Coturnix japonica: one gene and its partners. The protein of the gene in region 1 interacts with the protein of each later gene in a biochemical or structural test. Links are inferred from orthologs where the notes say so. Each region holds a gene or a part of one and is shown on either strand. Other genes may lie near its edges.

Region 1 (4,933 bases):
AGTAAATATGACATTTGCTAATATCAGGTATCACTGCGTTATCAGGAGCTGGCAACTTTATCAGGAACCAGGTCCTTCTCTACCTTCCTCTCTCTGCCTCTGTCCCCCAAAATAGATTAAAAATAGTAAACACCCCAATGATCAAAGGAACAGGAGTAATAGGGAAGTTACTTTTACATTTGTCATATCACTATCCACAAAAATGCAATCAAATCACTGCGATACTACCAGGAACACTACAGATCAGGTCCTCTCTGTTCCAGAAAATCTAAATTCTATATGAGAAGACAAAAAATGCAATGGAGAAAAAAAAAATCTCTTTCCCACAGAAACAGTGGGGAAGGCTGAATCACCAGATAAAATAGATCCCATAAGGGAAAATGGCTGCTCCTTCATCATTGACAATAGCACAAAACAGAGGATGAAAAAAATAAGGCTGAAATTTAGTTTTGTATCAGTGAATGGAGCCTTCTAGAACATCATTTTAATAAGACAGTCAAGACACAAAACTTATCTCCATGTTGCAATTCAACAGGCTTACGAATAGATTTACAGTTACAGTAGCCATCACCAACCAGGTGATATAAGGCTTATAAGGCACTTCTATCCTTCGTTTATTGCATTTTTGTTACTGCTCATTACATACTGGTTTAGATTACATCACTGCTTTATTCCAAGTGTTCCTTTTTTCATATGAGGTACTATCTGAACATATCAGTGCTAAGTATCTGGTATCTATTAACTGCATCTAACAGTGAAATAAACAAAGAAAAACCCTAAAACAGGTTAAAAAAACAAACAAAAAAAACCAACAACATGCTGCTTTTTCCCCCAGCACCAACTTATGGGAAGAGATGAGTACAAGTGGTTCTCAAGAAGAGTCCACATATTTTTTATTACTGGATAAATTCAATAAATAGATGGCAAATAACATATTTGAAAATGCTTTCTACAAATTAATAAGGAAAGGTTTCCTCACTCCTACTTCAGAATGTTTGGTTATGGGGGAAAAAATGAGTCTTTGAGTGAGTGAAATAGCAGCTGAACAAAAGGTCAGTCTGGGTTAATAGAAAAAAAATCTTGTTTTCCAATATAACAGGAAAAAGTATTCACAATATTTAATACAATTTATATGATTTATTACAGGCTACTTAAGAGTAAATCCTTTTGATATTTTAAGTGTTTCACAGTAGCACTAGAATTTGCATCAGCAAACAGCAGTATCTTTGAAGTGAGCTGCTTCTGCAGTTGCTACCATAGTTTTAATCAAATTTACATAACAGAGAGGTTTCATTTTAAAAAGCTTTACACTTAAAGTACTAAAATGAAGTATTTTAAAGCCTTAAAGAGAAAAATACACCATGAAGAAAAGCTGAACTTACAGTTTGTGATGTCAGGAGGGGCGTAACTATCATTAATAAACATGCTGGTGGGTTTTGCAACTTTCAGATAAACAAAGTCAGAAGTGTTTTTTAAGGCAGTCACTGCTTCTTCATGAGTAACTTCTTCTAAGCAAACACTATTCACCTAAATATAAAAAAGAAACAAATTCCAATGCAAAAAAAAATGCAGGTTTTCATGACACTGAAGTCTCCTAAAGCAATCCTAGCATTGGGAGTCCTTATTATGATTCATATACCAAAGGCACAAGTGGCCCAACTATGTAAAAGATTCTGCGTAGTGCTGCGAAATATTATAAAATATGGAATATTTTAAAATTATATAAAATGCCTTATAGTATGAAATATTATTAAAACAGAAATAACAAAAAGCTCTGGATATTATAGTAAACTGTACTGACAGTAACACTGAAAAAGAAGAAAACATGATTTTGGAAAACAAACAAGGCAAATATGACATCACAAATTTCGTAAGCATACACAAAGCTGCCTCCCTTTTTCTTCACTTCTTGTTTTTAATTCATCCTCTCTCCTAGTTGGAGAGCAATCCAAATCAGAGCTAAGTTCATACTACTAATTATCACAGTGATCAATACCCAAGTTATGTTATGCTACCTCAGACAGCAAACTTTTAGATTCATGTTTTATCACTGGTACACAGATATGCACTTCCTATGATGCAGATTTAAAATCTTTTTTAATATTTAGTTCTTCAAAGTTCTCCCCTAAAACATAGCTTAATCACAAACTGAGTCGTGTCCTTCCTGAGTCTAAAAGTAAATAGACATAAAAAAAACACTGCTGCTTTTACTTACAGCTAAAAGTTTGTCACCAATTTGAAGTTTTCCATCTTTGTGGGCTGCCCCTCCTTCAATGATTTTGGTTACATAGATGCTGTTGTCTCCAGGTATATGCTGATTTCCTACACCACCAGCAATACTGAAACCAAGACCTGCTTGAAGATAAAGTCATTAGTCAAGAAACCTTATAGCATTCCCTAGATGCAAATGACTGTATGAATAGTAATGCTACCTATACCATCCATGAGTAAATATATATAGAAATACTAGCCTGCAGCCAAAGAAATACTGGATGCCTTTCCAAGTGAACTCTATGATTTTCCAGAAAGTTTTGGAAAAGATTCAACATTCACAGAAGTTCTGAAAATCTAATCATCTTCTTCATGCATTGTGAAAGACACACGAAGCAAAGCTATAACACCATAACTGATATTTTAATAACTGTTTTCCAACATATCCACATATACAAACAAAAGAATACACTAAAGCTTTTTGTAGCCTCTCAAACATACTTGAAGATTATTAAATACTACCAGCAATACAATTGAACTACACATTCTTGAAAGTTCAGTAAAAAATACACATTCTACAAGAACAGCTTCAGAACAAACATGGATGAAAATCTGTGATATGTCTGCCTTAACTGGCATTATTTTGCATCTCCTAGAATTTCACATGCAACGTACTGTGTTCTTTAAGTTCTAAGTGCAGAAATGTATCATCAGCTCTATCCATCTCCTGAGGTGTTTTAGGCTTCCTACATACCTTTGGGGCCTTTCACAAGTTTTATTTCCACTATTTTTTCTGTCACTGGTTTTCTTCTTTTGACATACAATCGTACAATTGATCCCGCTTCTTTTAATGCTTCAACTGCTTTGCTGTGTGTCACGTCACGAACATCAACCTCATTTACTCGTAGAATACAATCATTAACCCTAGAGACAGCAATATTCATGTTCAGCTGTTGTGTTATAGCAGAGCAGACTCATTAGGAGTCCAATATTCTATTGAAAATACACTAAGACACGTTAACACAGTCAGATACATAGATTCTGCTTCAAAATTAAAGTAATTCAAAACAACGCTATAAAATTAAACATTGATGCTTAAAAATAAAACAAAGATAACTGGAAAATATCTAAATGGAATATTTAGTCAGAGGATACTCTTTAGATGAAACAAAAGATAGAATTTTGAAGATGACTTCGTACGAAATACCTTTCATTTAGAGCTATAAAAAAGAACTTAAAAGTCATACCCTGGGCATTATATAGTGGGAATTCACTAGTTTTAAACTATGATATGAACAAGTTGAGCTCCTTTCCTGCTTTCCACAAGCTATTTAAGTGCTGGCTTTTCTTTCCATTTAATGTGTTGCTGTAGTAACACTGAGCTCTCATTACAGTAAGTAGAATGTCTGACCCACTTGTCCCTAAGTTCTGCCAGATGTATCTTCTGACAGTGCCAAACAGGCTAAAACAAAGTCCTGAAATAAGCTTAATAAGACTAAAACACTTAAGTCATCAGGCGTTTGCACAAAATAAGGTAGGGACAAGTTCTCCAGAGAACAAGACACAAAAAAGCCAGGCTTCCAAACAGCTTTTCTTGTTTTATTTTTCCTCTATGCAGTTACACAAGAGTTTATTGAAAGACAGCTTGATATTTAAAAACAATTTCAAATAATTCATAAAAGCAGTTTGTTATTAATATGCAATTTCAAGTTGCAAATATCACTTGCTACTATCTAATGGTGAATGAACACTTCCTTACTAGTAGGTAAGTAGTCATCCCATAAATAAATAAGAAAATAAGGGGTGCTACAGAATAACTCTATCACTTTAAACAAAATTATGGCTATTGAGGATATGTAGTATCTCTGAAAAAATATGGCACAGAATGAAACCAAGCATACAAGAGAGCAATTGCTAAGCTCAACTTGTTTAAAATGCAACATAATATGATAATTGAAGCAAAGAGAAAATGTTCTATCAACTGTTTGACAAACAATAATAAACACTTAGCAACCCAATACAGGAAGTCGTCATACCGTAATCTTCCATCCTGTGCAGCTGCACCTCCGGCTATAATTTTTGTAATGAAAATACTTGAATCATCCCCAATATGTGGGTTGTCTGTGCCACCTGCAATGCTGAAGCCAAGTCCTGAATTGCCCTAAAGGTAGAAGGAGGAAAAATTATCTACTACTTTTCTTGAGAAAAAATACTGTACCTGTTTCAATATAAAACTAAATTTATATCATCTAACTGATAAAAAATGTTAAAAGAACTGTCAGTTTGTGATACTAAAATATGTTGGTTTTTCATATTTATGCGTTATAAGCCCCGCATGACAACAAAGTACAGGAAGACATTTAGCATCTTACCCTTTCAAGAGTAATTTCTTCATACTCGTAATCTGCATCTGTGCCATTGACCTAAAAAGAAACAAAACCAAGACTTAGAGAACTTCACACATTCTACAATACAATTTGCTATTCTGGCAGCTCATTCCAAACCAAATCTCAGCTGGTTGGCACTGATCAGTGAGCACAGGAGTGTGAATTTTCACACTGCTCTGTTCATGCATCATCAGGACACTTTCTGTATTAGCTTAAATGTAAAGCTTCCACAGGCAGACTGCTGTACATGGAACCTGTAAAGTAGAAACCTATTTCTGACTTCCTGAATAAAGCGCTCTTGCTGTTCCTCAGGCCATACGGCAAGTTAGAAGTGA
Region 2 (4,011 bases), on another chromosome or scaffold:
AGATGAAACTGAAAATCCCATCCTAACTCTAGATCAAATTAAAGAAGAGAAATTAAACGAAGAGCAGATGTACACAGTGACTTGCTGAGCACTGCTGCCAACTGCAACACCAAGATGCACGTAGGAGTGCTCGACTTGACCTCAAAGACGTCTGAATTTCTGCTAACATCAATGCAAAGAAGTTACGCACTGACACTGCTGGGCTGATCTGTGCTTAAGGCCTTGTTAGAATGTGGCGCTGCAGGCACTGTGGTGTGTGCAGCACAGCAAACTGCTCGCTGAGCCCTGCAGCAGCGTCCTGCCATGCACCGGGCACTGTGAGGAGCCCAGCACAGCGCAGAGCGCATCACACACATCCCGGTTAGGGACTATTAACCAGACGGAGAAATAAAACATCCCAGCAGTTACTCTCCTAGCAGCAGAGAGAAACCTGTAACAGGGCCTTGGCATGACTTGGCCTTCTGCTTCCACTCTTACAAAGAACACTTTGGCACAGAGCACCTCCACACATCACGCAGGAAGGCCAGCACTCAGCCCATTAAAGTAATGCAAGCTGTAATGTTCCAGCTCCAAAGCGCCCTACAGATGGAGCCTATGGCTCAGCAGGTCTCCACTCAGTGAGTCGGGGGGGGAGGAAACAAAAAGCCCTAAACAGTATTAGAGAAACAGGACATTCTGAAGTTGGAGCTGTTCCACTCCTATTATCTACATACACAGTGTGTGCTTCAAGAGAGAGGTTTGGAAAGGATGAAAGGTGCCCGTGCAGTGTGCAGCAGCTAGATGGGGCAGAGCTGGTACATCAGCATCACATAACACACCAGATATTTTCCATTAATGAGCAACCAGCTCACTTTCCCCCTCCACATGCCTTACTGTGCTCTTCCTACTATTCTCCCTGCAGTTTTCCAGCAGCACCGCCTCCTATCCACAAGCTGTCTGCATCTTTCCTTTTTATTGCAACAGCCGTGTGATAAATAAACCACGCAGCCCCCACACGGCGCAGGCAATGCTGACACAGCCTCAGAGCTTCCAGATGTGTTACCCAGCGCTGAGCCCTCCCTGCTTCCGGCAGGGCACGGCAATCTGGCTCCTGGGAGAGCCTGAAATACCCAGACTTTGTCAGAGCAGCAGCTCCACAGGAAACCTCTATGGTAAAGCCACAATTATACATCCTGACTTACAGCTATGTCCACCAGCATCGTTACAGCAGCCAGCAGAGCAGGCTGATGCCCTCAGACACAGCAATGTGAAACCCTGCCCATCCATCCTTCATCCTCACAGAGAGACTGAATCCTGATGACAACACAAAGTTCAGCTAAAGATAAACATCGTTCTGTGAAGATTGCTTAGCTGTGTCCAGAACTGTGTGCTCAGACCACAGAGTTGCTATGGCATCGGCTCCAGGCCTGTGGTCTGACACACAAAATGCCTTTTTCCTAAGGACTGTTGTGGGAAGCCGAGCACTTTGGCCGGGCACCAACTATGTTTTGGCTCCCCAGCAGATATCATTTATCGCCACTCGGACATTCCAGTGGTTCTCTGCACTGAGGCAGCAGCACAGCCAGCAGCTCAGCACCATCTCAGCCTGCCCGTGTCACACGGCCCCACACACCCCACAGCAGCGATGGGGCACAGGAACCGCGCTCACGCCTTCTCTGCTCACCAGCATTATTAACATCACGGCACTGTTTTCCCACCCCTTCACCACCGGAGCAGAACAAACAGGAGAGGTGAGGTGAGCTTTTGGCAGCTGCGTATCAAACCACAGCGGGAGGAAATTCTGCAGGATGCGAGATATTGCACCGATTTCCCTTATTTCCTGGTCTTTTTAATTATATAACCATCAGGATGTTTGCTCCAAGCAACAACGGAGCTCACACGGGATTTCTGCAAACAACGAATGTGGGACGAAGGGTCCTGGGGCGGCCGACACCCCATGGGCACATCGCCGCCCCTCGGGGCACCCAGCGCCCAGCACAGCGCCCAGCGCATCCCGCAGCACAGCGCCCAGCACAGCGCCCAGCACAGCGCCCAGCACAGCGCCCAGCACAGCGCCCAGCACAGCCCCCAGCACAGCCCCCAGCACAGCCCCCAGCACAGCCCCCAGCACAGCGCCCAGCACAGCGCCCAGCACAGCGCCCAGCACAGCCCGCAGCACGGCCGGCTCGGGCCGCACAGCGCCGCCGGGTGCCTGCAGGACGGGCCCAAGTACAAGGCAGGAGCGGGGCTGTGCAGCCGGCGGGGCCGGGCCACAGCTGAGCACAGTGCGGTGCTCGGTTACAGCCGGTGCTAAAAGCGGGCACCGAGGGCGCTACCTGCGACCCGGCACTGCCTGCGACCCGGCACTACCTGCGATCCGCCCTCAGCAGCCCGTCCCGGCCCGGCCCTGCCGGCACTGCCCGGCCCCGCCGCACAACTTTGGCTGTCACCGCCGCTGGAAGGAGCGGCCGCTTCCCGTCCCGTCCCGTCCCGCTCCCCCGCACCCAACAGCGGATGAACCAACTTTCCTTCCCGTACTTTCCGCACTTACCGCGGCCGTTCCCCCCCAGCCGCACGGAGCGCGTGCGGGGCGGGCGGAAGCCGCGGCCGAGCAGCGCCCAGGCCGGGCCTTGAGCCCAGCTCAGCTCGAGCTCCCGCCCGGCCCGGCCCCACTCTCCCGCTCGCAGCCCGACGCCGAGGGCGCAGCCCGGCACTCACCTCCTCGGCCGGGCCCGGCTCCGCTCGCCCGGGGCTGCGCGGCCCATCCGGCGCCAGGCGGCGGGATGAGCTCAGCGCCTGCGGGAGGCGGCGAGTCCCCGCCCCGCAGCCCACGGCCAACCTCCAACGGAGCGGGAGCGGCTCCGCGGGGCGGGGCGGGATCCGACACTGCTCGGCCACGGCTCGACCCGCCGGGACGGGCCGCACGGAGCTGGGGCGGGGCCGAGCGGAGCCAGCGCTGCCACCTGCGGGCGGGACGCGGCTGGGGACGGGCTGAGCCGCCTCGGAGCCGCATCCGGCCTCAGCAGCGGAGCCGATGATCGTTCGTCTGAACGCGGCTTGTTCCGTCTCGTCTTCCTCGTACCCTGTTCCAGCTGGGCGGAACGGCACCGAGCTCCGCTGCTCGGGAATGGGGTGCTCTGCTCCCAACACACAGACCGGGAGTGAGGGCTGGAAGGAGCGGCACGGCTGGCAGGATCCGCAAGGAACGGAGCCGGTGGAATAGAAGCAATAGCGACAGAAAGCAGAGTACGTGGAATAGAAGTAATAGCGACAGAAAGCAGAGTACGTGGAATAGAAGTAATAGCGACAGAAAGCAGGGCTGCTCCGCCGCGCCGTGCCCCGCCGGTCTGTGCCCGCCACGGCCACAGGCGGCACCGAGCGCTCCGCACCGGGATCCGCAGCGCAGCGGACACAGGAGCAGCGCCGGGACAGCGGGACCTGCTGCAACCTGCGTCTATTGCCGCGGAACGGGAACATCCGAGCGAACCGCAACGTGACCTGAAGGAATGGGATGCTGCGGTCAGAGCATCAGTGCATTCCTCTGACGGCCGGGAACTCGGTTATGGTACGTCGCTCAGAGATTAAGAATACAGCAATACTGGTTAAAATGAATACCGAGTCCTAAGTATAAAAACATGAAGATATGTTTTCTCTATCAAGCAATGAAATACTCGTGCTGTGTTTTTATGCAGTTAATGGCATTGCTGCAACTTCAGGATCGTATTTGTTTAAAACATGGTTGTGTTTTGTGTCTCTTATTCCTGCTGCGTGTTGACAAACCCTCAGCAGATATGCACAGGAGCTCGCTCCTTGCACGCTCCTTCCCCTTCTGGGCAGGGACATGGTGTGTAGCAGCTCCTGAGCTGCCCCTTCAGAGCAGCGCATTAAGGTGGAAGGGGTCTGAGAACCATTCACCTCAATGCAGTGGTTGGACAACTGCAGCCATGAACGAGCTGTGTGTGATGACGGATGTGTCACAGCAGTCAGACTCCCGGCCTGAAGGACGCATGGATGGCTGAAGGCAACGGCAAG
Region 3 (3,184 bases), on another chromosome or scaffold:
GCAACAAAAATAACCCTTTGTGTTCATGTAGTTAGCAGCAGCTTTCTTTAAAAAATAATTATAATAATAATAATAAGGCAGATTCTTGCCTTTGTTATGCCATTAAAAACATTCTTGTTCCCTAGAGAGAAGCATTCTGGAAAAAGTTGAAAAAAAAAACAACAAACAAATAATAATAACCCAACCAAAGCTTGCCTGCAAGTTCAAGTTTTGTAAAAAAATATATACATAATTTATTCTACAACATATGTGCCTTCTGTTCATACTCAGACATGTTTAGTGCTTTGTGTTTAGAGTTCATTCTCTGTTGTCCCTCCTCTGAGGACAGCCCTCAAACCAGCCGGGCTTTTCCCAGGTCTGTTTGCCTTCACGCCGCTCTTCAACAGTACCGTTGTCTGAAAACTGTTCTGGGCCAACTTCTCAGGTCAATGTGCCTTTGACCGATAGGTATTTGTTTATTTATCTTTCCTTTCAACCAAAAGAGAGAGGAATTGTCCGCCAGTCATATTTCTGACTCACGCCGTAGCGGCCGTGGCTCTAGGGGCACTCCTGCCTGGTTGTGATGGTCCATGTCGGGGTGGGTGTCTGTGCTCGTGCTCTCGGGCACCCCCGTGTCGATCTCATCCTCCTCCTTGCTGGTGAGGGCCACCTCGTTCTCGTAGCAAAAGGAGTTTGCATTCGAGAGAATGTATTTCTTTTCTGCTAAGTCTCTGGCACTGCAGATGGGTGTGTTGGGCACTTCGTATGTTTTGTGGAACCTTGAATAGTCCACTTTGTAGTAGTTTTTTTCTTCAAAGAGTACGGGCTCGTAGCGGTGGCCCCAGAGGATTTCATTTGCCAGATATGAGCTGCGGCACTGGGTAGTCATGGCAGTGGCTTCCACCATGCCTTCTAAAATGACTACTATTTCAAAGTCAGCATTGTCCATGTCTTGTTTGCTCAAGTCATACAAAGGACTGTCTTCATCTATTTCATGTACAATTGTAATTGGGGAGACCAGGAATATGCGGTCTATCCCGCTGTCAAACCCTACATTGATGTCTATTTGATCCAAAGGGATGTACTCCCCTTCTGATGTGATCCTGGACTTGAGGAGCTGTGCTCTCACGTGTGCCTCAACCAAGTGGCTTTTCCTCAGGTTTCCGACACGCCACATCAGGCACAGTTTCCCATCTCTCATGGCCACCACGGCATTGTGGCTGAAGACAAGAGTTTCATTTCTCTTTTTTGGCTTAGCCATCTTTGCCATGACGGCACCAATGATGAAGGCATCAATGATGCAGCCCACTATAGACTGGAAAACCACCATGAAAACGGCAATGGGACACTCATCTGTGACGCACCTGAAGCCATAGCCAATTGTGGTCTGGGTCTCAATGGAGAACAGAAAGGCTGCAGTGAAGCTGCTCACTTGCGAGACGCACGGCTTGTTATTTTCCTGGTTCTCCAGATCCCCGTGCAACAGCGCAATCAACCAAAACACACAGCCAAAAAAAAGCCAGGAGAGGATGAATGTCAGGCAGAAGATAACCAGCATCCACCTCCAGCGGATGTCCACACAAGTGGTGAAGATGTCTGCCAGGTATCGCTGTCCCTTCTCACCCACATTAATAAACTGGACGTTGCAGTGGCCATCTTTTTTGACAAAGCGGCTCCTGCACTGCTGCCTGGTATGTACCTTACTTTTTCCATTCCCAAAGCCATTGGCAACGGCCATGGTTGCCAGCTTCATGCCGTCCTCTTCCGAAGACACGATGCTGTAGCGGTTGGTTCGCACGCTGCCCATCACTACTGCTGTGGACTGAGGTGCTTCTGCTTTAGAAAACAGTCTAAGTTTCTGCAAAACCCTTTGGAGAAACAGTTTTGAAAGTTCTAGAGGAACACACACACACAGAAAAACTGGGGAGAGGCTGGAGTCCCCAAAAGCCCTTGGATCAACCAAGGACAGTCTTCTGGCATGCAGAGTTAGCTTAACAAGTAACCGTCATAGAGAGGGCATGGTCTGCAAGAGAAAGAGAAATGTCATATTAGATCCTGGAGGAAAAGGATAATGAATCAAGCCTGTGGGAATCAAGTAAAATCACTCCTCTGGAGTTGCAGGAAGTTTCTTTATTCTTAATGACAACATTTTCTGAAATGCGTGAGAGCTCTGAGCACAGTTCCGTATTGACCAAAGTGACATCATTACTGCAGAGAAGCCACCACTCTTCCCAAATGAAAGCCCTGAAGTGATCATGTCGCACAAGTCTCTAAGCAGTATTCACTTTAAAGTCGGGCATGCAAAGAATCTATCTACTGTTTGCAACGGGGCTTTCTGTTTATTTTGCAACAAAGAACTGGCATTAGCCTCCCTCTGTTCAAATAATACTGAAACAGTTTTTTAACGACGTGCAGTGTCTGTCTCCTGGACTGCTTTACCTATGTCAAACAAGGGAGTGTGCAGAGGGAAGACAACATGTACTGAGAACAACAATAAAGTTGGAAAATGCAAATATCAGTTATTTCCATGAGATTGCACTGCATAGAACTTAGGTTTTTCTATTAAGTGGGAGTTATAAAAGGAATCATGGGTTTTCTGTGAATGGTAGGAAAACAGGCTGCATCAGTACCTCTAACTCCATCAACTCACTGCGTCCGAGCTGGTTTTTACATTCCCATTAGGGTGAGTTGTAGGGAGCAAACTAAACATTGTAATGACCCTCTGTGAGTGGGAATGGCAGAAGGCTCCAGTGGTGGGACTGGATGGGGGTAGGACTGGATGGGCATCTTCAGAACACCTCAGGGTCTCAGATGCCAGCAACTAAGGCTCAGCAGAGAGGCTGCAGAACTTTCTTCCCAAGGGTAGAAGCTACTAGACTTGTTTCAGGGAGGTCTGGCTTAGACCCAGGTTTAGCTTTTAACAAGTGCGTCATCCATTAAGTCATGTACTGTATATCAGGAAATGTAATTGAAATACTGCAGAGGATAGGAGATGCATTAATGCAACTGCTCCATCCATACATTCACCTCATGGAGGAAATAAAACCAAAACCAAGCAGCGAGGAATGTCTGCTATCCATTTACCCTAGGAGAGGAGACTTAAGTACTGTTTACATTGGTGGGGGATTAAATCACCATCCTCTTCATAAATCAATATAATCAAAACTCATCTGAGTTTGTCCCGAACCCAACACATCTATCGCTG
Region 4 (3,960 bases), on another chromosome or scaffold:
CTCAGTATGGAGATCCCATGGTGTAGAGACCCCTTGGGTACAGGGACCTCTTGGTACAGAAGCCCCATGAGCATGAGACCCCTTGGGCGTGGGGACCACTTGGGTATGGGGGCCACTTGGGTATGGGGACTTCTTAGGTATGTGGATGTTTTGGGTATGGGGTCCCCTTGGGTACGGGGACCCCTTTGGTATGGGAACCCCTTGGTATGAGAAGCCCTTAGTATGGAGACCCCTTTTATGGGGATGCCTTGGCTATGGGGACTCCCAGGCTCAAGCAGAACTACACACCTGCAGCATCCCCCATCCCTCCCTGAGCCCCTGCATGTGGGCTAACATGTGGGCTCAGTGCCTCTCATTAACCCTAGATCTCATTAGCGAGGGTGTTGGAGCCATGCAGGAGAGCAAAAGGCACATGGCATGGGGCAGGTGAGGGGAGGGAGCTCTGCGCCATTTATATAGACATGCTGCTGCCTTTTCTCTCAATAATTATAAATAGATCGGGTGGGTGCCAGCAGTCCCCGTGTGCCCGCAATCACGGTGAGCTGACCCCTGCTCCCCCATTGGGTGACACATATGTCCCTCTGCCCTGTTTGCATTTCGGGGTGGAGCGAGTGAGGGGATATTTCCCCCCTGTGAAGCCCCGGGCACGGGTAATATGAAAACAAAACAAAATGATCTGAAGTTGAAGCCTCTCAGTGTGTGACTCAGAGCTATTCATAGCTCCCCGAAGCCAGCTGCAGCAACAGAGCCAGAAGGATTCTGCCCGTATTATTATTCCAATTACCATCTGAATTAAAAGTTTGAGCAGTGATCAGCCCACATACCGACAGAGGGGGGAGAGGAGAGAAAGGGAGAGAAAGGCAGAAAACAGATAAAAAAGGGCTACGCACGAAGGTTGACACAGCCAGAGCAGAGGCTGAGCCCCCTCCCCAGCCCCCACTGCTCTCACACCTCCCAGTGTTGTCCCCTCCTCCCCAGAGCCCCCGGTGCTCCAGGAGAACCATATCCATTCGTTGGTCCTATATCCAACACAGTTGCTTGCAGGAGAGCTGTGTCCAACCAGTGCCATTGGCAGAAAGGTGGTTGTGTTTGTGAGCAGGGATTGACTGCGAAGACAGGCACGTCCATCTATCGATCCCCGGTCGCCGTCGGGTTGAACGAACCCAATGCCATAATGCAGTGACCCAGGAAAGTGGGAATTTGCTGAAGGCGGATTGCAATTAAGTGCTCTGCTCCACATGGGTGCTGATGGAAGTGCCGCTGGCCGTCACTACATCCCCCATCCCACTGCCCCATGGTGGTGCCACACCAGGGATGGGTGGGCAGCATGGAACCAGGCAGCCAAATGCCTGGGGGACACCTCCGGGCAGCACGCCCCAGGGAGGAGGAATGGTGGAAGGAGAGGAAGGCTGCAGCATGAGAAGACCGACCCTCTCCCATCCATCCCTTCCATTTCCATCCCTCCTCCTCCTCACCACCAGTTTCCCTTCTAGAAGCCCACATTCCTACCATGGAATTGCAGAATATCCTGAGTTGGAAGGAACCCATCGCTGAGTCCATTCCTTCTATCCTTTGTGTCATTATCATTGTCAGCAGCCCCAAACTGAGGTGACCATGTGTTGGGGTGCTCAGACATTGCTTCCAGTGCCAAATGGATACAAGTATGTCCCCACGCTCCCTGCACACCTCCCCATCCCCTTTCAGGCTTCTGGTGACCACAAGCTGACAGTGGTGATGCCCATCACCTCCACCATGCATCCAACACCACCGAGTAACCCCTATTGGCAGTGCCTGTTGGAGACATTGGACCACCCCAAGCAAGAGCTGAGCTGGGACCTTGTGAGCTGGAAGGGTTGGGTCTGGACCCCCAAAATCTCTAAGCTTAGAGGGGGACACTTCAACCCTGGGTGCAGACTGTGCTTGGAGAACAGCTTCCTGGTGCTGAGAGACCCATCCCAGAGCAGCGCACACAGATGGACGCCACGGTGCAGGGCTGGTCCATAGGGATGGATAGGGAAAAAGCAAACAAGAGCCGGGGTGAGGGAGCACTGAAAAACCACACAAGTTACCTGCAGGGCAAAGGAGGAAAGTTGGGGAGGCTGACGAGGAGGTGCCCTCCACACCGTCACGCTCTGTTAGCGGTATTTACATCTGCCACGCACACAGCAACTTTGCTATTCACGGACACATTCACATGAAGCTACTCACATCTAAGTTATATTTATAGCCTTCCTCAGCACTAGCACGACAGCATTTTCACAGGCAAAACCTCCCGTTGCTGCACCGGGAGCTGCCCGGCATCTCTTACCGCATCGTGCTGGGGCCGCCTGGGAGCCAGAGTCAGAGGATGGGGTCAGCAGTCGGCGTCTCCATCGTGCCCCAGAGCTCCTGGGCTCACCCAGTGGGTTCTCTGCAGCTCCGGGTTGTTGGATTCCTGAGGAGCCCCAGCTCACCGTGCCCAGCTCCTCTCCTCCTCCGCTCAGCGTGCTTCGCTCCCATCCATCCCACGAGCTCTCAGCGACGGTTCTGCTCTCCCCCTCCTGCCTCGTCCCCTCTGCCCTTCAGTCCTCTCTCTGCACCTCCCTGCTCTCACCCCAAAATCTCTGCGCCGCCTCTCCCTGCTCCCGTTCCCTGGCTCCCTCTCCCCCTCTCTGATTGCTATGCAGTCTGTAGCTAAGAAGTCAGTAACTCTGTGGTAGGATCCAACAGCTTTCCGCTACTTTAGCCCATCCTCGCATGTGATCTCAGAGCCATGGATACGCACTGCCGAGCTGCCATGGGGGAGACGGGAAAGCATCCATCAGCAGTGGGGACAATGGAGTGGCCACATACCCCGGCCGTGAACTGTAGGATTTTCCCACCAGGACCCCACATTATGGGCTGAGACCTGGCTCCAGGCAAGGACTCAGCTCCCCTTGGATTGTCTCTGCTGGGAGCTCCCCGGAGGCATCTCGGGGGCTTCCAGGTCACCTCCTGGAGAACTCTCACCGGGAGGAGCAGAGAATATTTTTAGCACCTCTCAGCATCCGTCCACAGCTGCAAGCAGGGAGAGCAGCCAACATCCTGCAAACAGCTCCGCACTGCTGCTCCCTGCAGCTGGATGGGGTTGTCCGACCCCTCTGTCCCTACTATCCCAGTCCCCAGGCTGGGGGTCATTGCCCATCCAATAAGGAGCCCCATGCTTAGGGACACCAAGTTGGAGGTCATCTCTATCCCATAGGGAGCCCCATCTTTGCCCAAGGCTGATGTGACACATCCCAGTGTGACCATGGTGTTCGCACCCCAAGGGGTGAAACCACCTTGCAGTGCCTCAACTCATCCCAAAAACCTCACTGTGTTGCTGAGGATGGGGAGGAACACACGACCATGGTGGTGGTTCCCCCACACGGACAAACAGCTGCACCCATGCACTGTGCAACCAGCTTGGTTGGGCCTTTGGGATGGACAATGGGACATCACAGACAAAGATGTCACCAACCCCTAGCTGTCCTCGTGCCATGCCCCAGCCATCCCTGGCTCCATGGCCCCAGCAGTGGGGTGGCTCACACTCGCCACCCCCGCCCGTCTCCACCGGCACCGTCTTTAATAAGAAGCGTGGAATATTTTAGCACCTATGGAAAAGCCACCACAGACGGTGGTGGCAGCCGTTGCCAAGGAGACAGTCCCAAAAATAGCCCCACTCCGCCAACCTTTCCCAGTGCTGCTGTGGGGATGGAGAAGACGGTTGGATGGAGGGCTGGGAGGGTGGGGAGAAGGGATGGAGGGAGGGAAGGATGGATAGAGAGTTCAATGGATGGATGGATGAGAGGAGGAGATGTGGATGGAGGAACGAGACAGAAAAAGGAAGGAAAGAGGGAAGAAGGAATGGAAAGTTGGATGGAGATGTGGACAGATGGATGGACTGGTGGATGGATGAAAGGCAGAGAGGTGGATGGATGAATGGACAGATGGATGGAAGGA
Region 5 (3,981 bases), on another chromosome or scaffold:
TCACCCCTGAGCTCTCTGCATGCATCTCTGCAGCACTAGACACACACAGAACATGGAGATACAGTGAGAAATTTTGACTCAGCATCTCAATCCCAGCTGTTACCAAAGGAAAGAACAAAACTAAGTATTGGCATCAGGAACCTGTAGCGTCCTTCAACTTTGAAAGTGTTCAGCACTGGGATGTGAACAGATTGCTGCCGTATTAAGGCTAAAATGCACACACTGAGCCTCTGCTGGCAAGATCTATTTTATATATATTCACACACACTCTACATACATCAGTGCTTCCATACTTAACAGAAATCTTTATGGATTTACAGAATGAAGACATACCTACATCTGCATCAAAGTATTAGAGCTCAGAAAGAACAGTTGTAAGTGCACCCTTCCAATTTGCCTTTAAATTTTAAAAATAATGGGAACGACTCTAATTCAGCACTAATTGTATGGCCAGTGTCATTTTTTAACTTCTATCTGAAGTTATTCCTGATTTAGATCAACAGATGTGAGAAAACGATCAGATTCCGAGTGTCAGACAGATGGTAACTGGACTTGTTGCAAGAAAGCATATATTCAGCATCACAGAAAAGACTCTCGAAAATATTAAAGAAGGCACCAGAACAACAAGGCACTTGAAGAGTGATGTGTCGGAGTCAAGAACGAAAAGATGAGAAACCGATTCCTTTCTCATACCAGGATGGCACCAATGTGACTTTCCCAACGTAAATGCCAATGACTGGTGCCAAAATGTGTAAGACAGAATGAAACTGCAGTTACAGTGCCAAGATAATAAAAGGAGTTTGGGAATATTCTATATCATATGAATCACATATTGAAATTAATGAAAATAAAGATCGTTACAGCAGTAAGGATTGGGATAATTATCTCCAAAGGAAACCAATGGAAACTGTTTCTTGGGACATGGAAGTGAGGTGGGATGAAATTTTTGCACTCTTAGCTTCAGTTTCCCCAGGAGCAGGAAGGAAGGAGGACTCCGAGACCGACCCAAGTTTTCTCATCTCTCAGTTCACAGAATCTGTTTATTTTTTCAAACATGTTCAACAATGAATGAAAGCTGTAAAGCCGTAACCGTCTTTTATTGCTTCAGGAGGTATCAGCCAAAGGGATAATACAAACAGTAAGGTTATCTAAAAATACTGCACTGAGCTACTTCAGAATATTTCCAATATTTCGGGTAACACATGCTCTAATTATACCCCAGCATCATTAACAAATTAAATAGCTTCATTTTTTGGTACTAAAACAAGGCAAGTCACCTGAGATACCATCTATTAATTTCAGCATGACAAGCCTGGGTTCCCAGTGGGGAGATAAAAAATCAATGGGAAAGAGAAGTCTTGGCTGTAAGCGGACGGCTGCCGGCTCGGTCACGCACCGCTAACTTCCCCCATTAGGCAGCCTGGCTGCTCGGATCCAGCCTGTTCGAGCAAGGAAACAGAAAAGAGGAATGAAAAGCAAAGCACACCGACAGCAGATGGTGATGAGATTCAGAAGTCATCTCCAAAGCCGAATAAGAAAAAGCCAAAAAGACACTGCAATGCCACCAAATTCAGCAGATGTGACTGCCGTGCGGATTAGGCTACTTGTTGCAGTCTACGTTCTACACCTGAGCACAGTAAGGTATCTCAGCAAGCAACAAGCGTTCCCTTACAGCTGTAACTTCATGAGGGAAATGTAGTGATGGTCACAGAGACAGCAGTGTAACACAGCTCTGGAGAACGAGCTCCTATTGCATACGCAGCCAGCGCAGCTCCGGAGCTGCTGACTGCAGTCACCCACAGCAGTGCCCGCACGCCTCACACGTTCAGCACCAATTCTGTTCTTTGTGGCATATGCACTGCTTCACTACAGGTGTAGCTGGAGACAAAACCATCAATCACGGACCCCAAAGTGCCCTCAGACGGCTCTTTCAGGAATGTGGGCACATCAGAGAGGCTCAGGGAAATCTGTTGCTGCAGTATTTCTGAGAAGAACACACAAACTTTCTTTTCACCTCGTTCAGCAAGGAAAAACCCTACGAAAACCCTGCCAACGCAAGAACATCTCCTCTGCGGTAAAGAACGAGCATGCTATGCATATACAGACGTGTGTAACTTTTCATACAGAATTGCTGCTAGCACCAGATGGCAATAAGCACTTTGTGACTCCGGATTCTAATGCCGAGAACTCGGCTGGAGTGCGGAGCGGGGCAGCGTGCGCCTCCCGCCGCGGCTGCCGAGCCCTGCGCCGCATCCCGCATCCCGAGCGGACCGGGCCGGTCCGGGGAGCTCCGCACATCGCTCCGGGGCTCGGACTCAGGAGCCGGCCCTGGAACAGCCGTCGGGAACCGCGCATGAGGAGGCCGGGCGGGCGCGGAGCACTCACCGCGGGGGCCGTCAGGCGGCGGATGCTCTCGCCCAGCGAGTCCAGGTTGACCCGCCGACGGCGCGGAACGCGGCGAGCCCCGGCGCTGGCCGCGGCGGCGGCGGCGGCGGCTGCGGCGGTGAGAGGTGGCTCGGCGGGGCCGGGAGGGCTGCGGCTGCCGTTCCAGCAAAGGCGGGACAGGGGACACTCGCCCTCCTCCTCGGGGCTGGTCTCCGGGCAGTCGGAGCCCAGCGAGCTGAAGGACTCGGAGGAGATCTTGCGGCGGGACATGGTGCCGCGGGCCGGCGGGGCTCAGCGCAGCGGAGGGCAGCGCGGGGCCGCGGGGCCGCGGGGGCGGCCGCCTGGCATGGCCGCGGAGCCCCTCGGCGGGGGGCGGCGGTGGATGCGCTCCGGGGCCGCTCCCGGCTCCGCGCTTCGCCGCGCCGCTCCGAGCCGCGGGTGCTGCGCGGCGCCGCCTCGCCGGGAGGCTTTAAAGCGGCGGCGGCGGCGGCTGCCCTCCTCTGCCTCGGCCGCCCTCCCTCGCTCTCCCCTCCCCCGGCTCCCTCGCTGCTCCGCGGGAATCACGTGTTGTTTGGAGCCCTTTCCTCCTCCTCCTCCTCCTCCCTCCTCTCCCCTCCCCGCTCGCCGCCTCTCGCACGCCGCGGCCCGGCAGCAGCCCCCTTAATGCCCCGCTCCCCGGCGCCGCGCTCTCCCCCCCCTCGCTATAGGGATGTCCCCGCGCTATGGGGATGTCCCCGCATTATGAGGGTGTCCCCGCATGGCCCCAACCGTGCCCGGCCGCGCCGCCTCCGAGCCCGCGGCGGTGCTGGACAGCTCCCTAAGCACGGGATGCCGGGGAAGGCGGCCGTGGGTGCCCGGCGCCGGAGGACTTCACTGAACGGCACAGCTAAACCTTAGGGAAATGGAAGGTGGTAAATATCGGAGAAGGCTGAAGGGCTGCCATCAGTTTTCAGAGGAAAAAGTTCTTTTCGGCTCTGACACTGTGGGTTACGTCCGAAAGAGTAACTAAACTCGTTCCCTGTTGTTACAATCCAGCTACAGTACCCATGTACTGTAGAAAGCCCACAAGGAAACATGCCCTCAGTGGTAGAGTTTCATCCAACCATCAAGAAAGACATTCATTCATCTTCTGTTGAACAAAACTTCCTTTGAAAGCAATGCTTTTAAGATCGTTTTTTCTTTACCTGTCCTCAGTATTATAGTATACACTTTACCACCTCATCATCTGAACTATCTGAGTGCAGCCTTGACAAAAGCCCACCTGAGATATTGGGAAGAGCACCGCAGGCATAGAGAGCTTTGGAGGATGGCCCAACACAACCCAAGTTCAGAAGGCCAGGTAGGCAGCTCTCAGAGAGGACATGGCGTGAATCACATATTTCACCAGGACATTCCTTTCAGTGCCACCATCTCTCAGCTCACCAGGTTTCTGTTGCAATTTTCTTCTTTCTCTAGAAATTTATATGGAGTAAGAGAAACAACAGAGCTCCTTTTGTCATGGCACAGTTCTTAAATCTCTGCATCTTGAAGCCTGTGGCTTAAAAGGATGTATCAAAAAGCCAGGGTGGTCCGTGATGCCTTCTGTTGTCTTATAAA
Region 6 (4,017 bases), on another chromosome or scaffold:
ACACGCTTGGGACATTAAAAATAATACAGGGACAGAGATTTTCACACAACCCGTGGATGCCAGAGCTCCGCTGGTTCCCAGCCCACTGCCGACTCATCCCTGCCACGGAAGGAAAAGTTTCTCCGTCAGCACAAACCACTGCCAAACCTCCACACCCCGCACGCCACTCCAGGGTCCCCGCGTCCTTCTGCATGTGCCACAGGGATGCTCGTGCCCCACAACCCACACCTCCTGCAAGCAAAGCTCAGCAGCTCCCCAGGGCAGGACGCCGCACAGTGTCTCACTGAGCTCATTGAGCGTCAGGGAGTCCCGTCCTGGTGAGTGACACAGGTGGGTAGCACACCAGCAGTGTGCCACGCACTCTACAAGTGCCAAGCATTTCCTTTTTTTTTTCCCCCTCCCCTTCCCTCCCCCTTTTCCAACTAACAAATATAGAAGTAGGGTCTATAAGACCATGGAAACTCTATTACTCTTCTGCATTAAAGCCAAAAGCAACTCATTAAAACATCAAAGTAGGATGTCTCATCAGCTCAGGAAGCTCCAGCAGGAGGTGGCAGGGATGCAGCTCCCACACAGCCCCACACTGGGCATGAGGAGCCAGGAGCCCCAGGCCGGGGCTGCAACCCCTCCTTACTGCAGGAGCTCTGCACACACTGACCCTGCAAGCAGGGATGCAGAGAGGTGCTCCATCCTACTTAAGCCCGAAGCTCAGAGCTTCTTATACCAGGAGTATCCCCATCACCACAGGACTGATGCCCACTGGCTCAGTGAGAGGAAAGAGGGATGGGCTCCCTCTCCTTGCTCACCCAGTCCCATTTATTTCCCTTTCCATGCACCAATTCTCCACCTGTACAACAGAAGAGACACCGCTGCCTCCACCACCTCAACCAGCCATCAGGCAGCAGCATCCCATGCTCATGTCACATCCCTGGGATCCAATCCCAGAAGCCTCCAAAAAGGCAGAGGAATTTGGGAGACAGCATCACCTCCATGCACTGCAGCAGCCACCCCTATGGATACGCATCCATCGCTCCAGCCATGCTGAGCAGCACAGCTTCCAGATGGCTCAGAGAGCAGCACTGATTTGCAGAACACAGCTGGGAGGGATCCAGGCTGGGGGGAGCAGCCAGCAGCAGCAGCGTCTGCAGCACAGGGCAGCAGATCCCTGCGGGCTGCTCACAGCACTGCAGCAACAGGCGGTGGAAATGTTGTGAGCAAACTGTGCTCACGGCACAGCAAGGGGAAATAAATTTTATGCATATGTATACTCGCGCGGATATACTTATATATGCACAGATTAATTAAGAGAGAGAACGAAAATGGGAGAACGCGGGGAACCAAGGGAAGCTGAGAGGGTGCACGCAGCTCCCGGGGCACCGCAGCAGCCAGGGAAGGCCTCGGGGAAGGGGGAATTCCTCACTCACGGCTCCACCCTGCTGCCTTCTGCCGCACAACAATGGCAGCGCGCAGCGGTCCCTCCCCGCAGCCGCTGAGCCCGGGGCCGGAGCGCCGCACGAGCGGATACGGCGATGCTCAGCGCGGAGCGCAGCGCTCCGGACAGCGGCGGGCGGCTCAGGGGAGGCTGCGCCCCGCGGGGAAGGATCGAGCTGGGCTGGGAGCGGGGAGAGCCGGGGGTGTTAGTTAGCCCCGCTCGTTCGCTGCTTAACGATTCAGGTGCGTTTCGGTGTTCACATTGAGCGCAGCGGCTGCAGCCGCGCAGTCAACGCGAGCGGTTACCGGGAGCGCTGCGCCCATTTGGGGGCGGGAGGGGGGGAATGCAGAGAGGTGCCCCGCCCCGCGGCGCAAACAGGTCCGCGAGCCGAGCAACCCCCCCGCCCTCAGGTCTCCGGAGATAAGAGGACAATAACCCATTGTCCATCCCCTCGCTTCCTCCCCGCCCGCATGCAGAACGACCGGGAACAGGGGGGCCGTGCAGCCCCCGCGGCCCGGACCGTGCCCGCAGCCCCTGCCCCACCCAGCGCTGCCGCAGGCGGGGAGCGGCTCCCAGCCCCGGGCCGAGGAGGAGCCGCCCCTGCGGAACCTCCCGGCGCTGCCCTCGGGCTGCCGCAAGGCGCTCCCCCTCCGACCCCGCTCAGCCTTTCCCTCCGGCCACGGCCGCATCCACGAGCTGCGCCCGCCCCCCCCACGCCGCTCTGCCACGCGGGAACGCCGCGCAACCCCCCCCCTCCCCCGGCTCCCCCAAGGGTTGTTCCCAAGGGCAGCAACAAGTGGTGGGCGGCTGTTACAGCCGGAGCGCTCCCCCCTCCCCACCGCCTCCCTCCCCCCCGCCCGAGTTCGCACAGCCCCGGGGTGTCACGGCCACCCCCCGAACCGCTCCGCGATCCGCTCGGACCCGGGAGATGCGCGTGGCCCCCACGCTCCCCAGATTCCGACGGCAGAACAACTCCCCGTCCCCCCGCTCCCTCCCACCTGCTGCGCCGGTCCCGTGTCCTTCCTCCCAACCGACGTTCCCCCACTGTCTCCAACAGCCGACCCCGCAGCAGCTGCAGCGTTATGGAAGGCGAAACCCGCGCGCTCCTTCCGCGGGACGCTCCCCCCCAACGGAACCTCGAAGGCAGCACCGCCGCCTACACCCGCCCCACCCAAAGGGGCACCCTGGGAATTAACCCCCCCCTCGCTCCCTCCGCCTCGGTCCCGCACTCACCGGCGCGGCGCCCCGTCCCGACTGTCGGCGGAGCCCCCGCGGGCGGCCATAAGGAGGGCGGCGGCGGCTGCAGAGCTAGCGGGAGAAAATGCTTGTCATGGCAACCCGGGCCGGGCCTGCCGGGGGAGGGGCTGCCTTAAGGTGGCGGCCCGCCCCGTCCGCTGCTTAAGGGGGACGGGAGGCGGCGGGCGGGGCTGCGTCCCCTGGGCGCTGCGGGGCGGGTGCGTGCTCGGGCGGTATCGGTGCACCCCGCGGACACTGCCCCTCTACCCCAGGAAGCACCGTCGAGTAGTACAGGTGAACCCCGGTGCCGGTACGTGTACCTCCATACGTCGTGGGCTTCCCCATAGGCAACCCCCACCACCAACCCCCGAGCAGTACAGATGTACACCCAGGAGGTGGGTGTCCGTGCAGTGTCACCCACGTGGAGCAGCTGCAAGCGGTGCACGAACCCGTGGGGACAGAGGACCCCCCTCCAAGCACGGTGGTCCGTGTGTGCCCCCCACCTCGAGCGGTACGTCCAGGGTGCGCGGCTGCAGGGCGGCATTGTGTGCACTCCTGGCACTGCGGATCCTCCCTTGGGCAGTGCAGTGCACGCACCACCAAGCGCTGTGCCTGCACCCCCAAAATCTGTGTACCCCCTTCTGCACATACTGCACCCCTGCTGTGGTGGTACAGATTTCCTCGAGCAGTGTAAGTTGCTCCCTCATGATGGATGCATCTGGGACACCCCCCAGCTCCCCTGGCAGTGTGGTCACTGCAAAACAGGATGCACAGAAAGTCCTTCCTGCTGCGAGCATGGGGCACAAAATCTCTGGAGCAGAGCTCGGGGTTCCTTGTGGTCACTGTCGTTGGTGACATGTGACGGGGGGGTGTGCCCCACCCTGCTACTCATAGGGCACAGCCACTGCTGTCCCTACAGCGTGGGGTGGTGGTGTCACCCAGGAGGGGTACAGCTGCTCCTTGAGGTGCAGAGCATGAATCTCAGCCCCTTGTCCAGGCAGAGCCAACCCTTCCCCCTTTTATTACAGAAGCAAAGAAAAAAGTATGCATTGAAACTCCACTGAAGCCCTGGAAATGCTGTGGCTGCAAGGAAAACGTAACACGGCATTGATGCAGCTATGCTGGTGTAATATTGGGTGTAGGCAACCTTAACTCAGCACTAATCCTGTTGTTTGGGCATGCAACCCAGTTCAAGTCAAACCAGTGTAACATCTGTGCGTGCACAAGCCCTCATTTAACACTTGTAACATTTACCCCTGCCCTTGAGGGCTGCGCCTCAATAACTTTGCATTCCTGAACAGTCCTGGGGGGGGTTCCTCTTTGGGCCTTTGGCAAGGGGATTCCTCCCT

What was found. The genes of interacting proteins can lie anywhere in the genome.
Region 2: the proteins of DLG1 (region 1) and TANC1 interact in a test that uses a peptide from one of them, tested with the Homo sapiens proteins (2 studies listed by IntAct, with this or other methods). The link is inferred for Coturnix japonica from reciprocal best matches to the Homo sapiens genes DLG1 and TANC1.
Region 3: the proteins of DLG1 (region 1) and KCNJ2 form a complex in vitro, tested with the Homo sapiens proteins (2 studies listed by BioGRID and IntAct, with this or other methods). The link is inferred for Coturnix japonica from reciprocal best matches to the Homo sapiens genes DLG1 and KCNJ2.
Region 4: the proteins of DLG1 (region 1) and KCNJ4 form a complex in vitro, tested with the Homo sapiens proteins (2 studies listed by BioGRID and IntAct, with this or other methods). The link is inferred for Coturnix japonica from reciprocal best matches to the Homo sapiens genes DLG1 and KCNJ4.
Region 5: the proteins of DLG1 (region 1) and GUCY1A2 interact in a test that uses a peptide from one of them, tested with the Homo sapiens proteins (2 studies listed by IntAct, with this or other methods). The link is inferred for Coturnix japonica from reciprocal best matches to the Homo sapiens genes DLG1 and GUCY1A2.
Region 6: the proteins of DLG1 (region 1) and plasma membrane calcium-transporting ATPase 4 form a complex in vitro, tested with the Homo sapiens proteins (2 studies listed by BioGRID and IntAct, with this or other methods). The link is inferred for Coturnix japonica from reciprocal best matches to the Homo sapiens genes DLG1 and ATP2B4.

What each region holds. Positions count from the first base shown.
Region 1 is NC_029524.1:10,748,069-10,753,001, forward strand, and holds part of DLG1 (disks large homolog 1), read right to left. Parts: intron 4,635-4,933; coding exon 4,584-4,634; intron 4,373-4,583; coding exon 4,248-4,372; intron 3,136-4,247; coding exon 2,966-3,135; intron 2,356-2,965; coding exon 2,216-2,355; intron 1,528-2,215; coding exon 1,383-1,527; intron 1-1,382. UniProt on the Homo sapiens protein: Essential multidomain scaffolding protein required for normal development. Recruits channels, receptors and signaling molecules to discrete plasma membrane domains in polarized cells.
Region 2 is NC_029522.1:33,247,947-33,251,957, reverse strand, and holds the start of TANC1 (protein TANC1), read right to left. Parts: upstream 2,801-4,011; 5' UTR 2,698-2,800; intron 1-2,697. UniProt on the Homo sapiens protein: May be a scaffold component in the postsynaptic density.
Region 3 is NC_029533.1:6,094,376-6,097,559, forward strand, and holds KCNJ2 (inward rectifier potassium channel 2), read right to left. Parts: upstream 1,790-3,184; 5' UTR 1,787-1,789; coding exon 503-1,786; 3' UTR 501-502; downstream 1-500.
Region 4 is NC_029516.1:46,451,037-46,454,996, reverse strand, and holds the start of KCNJ4 (inward rectifier potassium channel 4), read right to left. Parts: upstream 2,801-3,960; 5' UTR 2,314-2,800; coding exon of another isoform or gene 2,309-2,313; intron 2,297-2,308; exon of another isoform or gene 1-2,296. UniProt on the Homo sapiens protein: Inward rectifier potassium channels are characterized by a greater tendency to allow potassium to flow into the cell rather than out of it.
Region 5 is NC_029516.1:161,689,523-161,693,503, reverse strand, and holds the start of GUCY1A2 (guanylate cyclase soluble subunit alpha-2), read right to left. Parts: upstream 2,801-3,981; 5' UTR 2,656-2,800; coding exon 2,386-2,655; intron 1-2,385. UniProt on the Homo sapiens protein: Has guanylyl cyclase on binding to the beta-1 subunit. Isoform 2 acts as a negative regulator of guanylyl cyclase activity as it forms non-functional heterodimers with the beta subunits.
Region 6 is NC_029541.1:4,878,571-4,882,587, reverse strand, and holds the start of plasma membrane calcium-transporting ATPase 4, read right to left. Parts: upstream 2,801-4,017; 5' UTR 2,666-2,800; intron 2,559-2,665; exon of another isoform or gene 2,431-2,558; intron 1-2,430. UniProt on the Homo sapiens protein: Calcium/calmodulin-regulated and magnesium-dependent enzyme that catalyzes the hydrolysis of ATP coupled with the transport of calcium out of the cell. By regulating sperm cell calcium homeostasis, may play a role in sperm motility.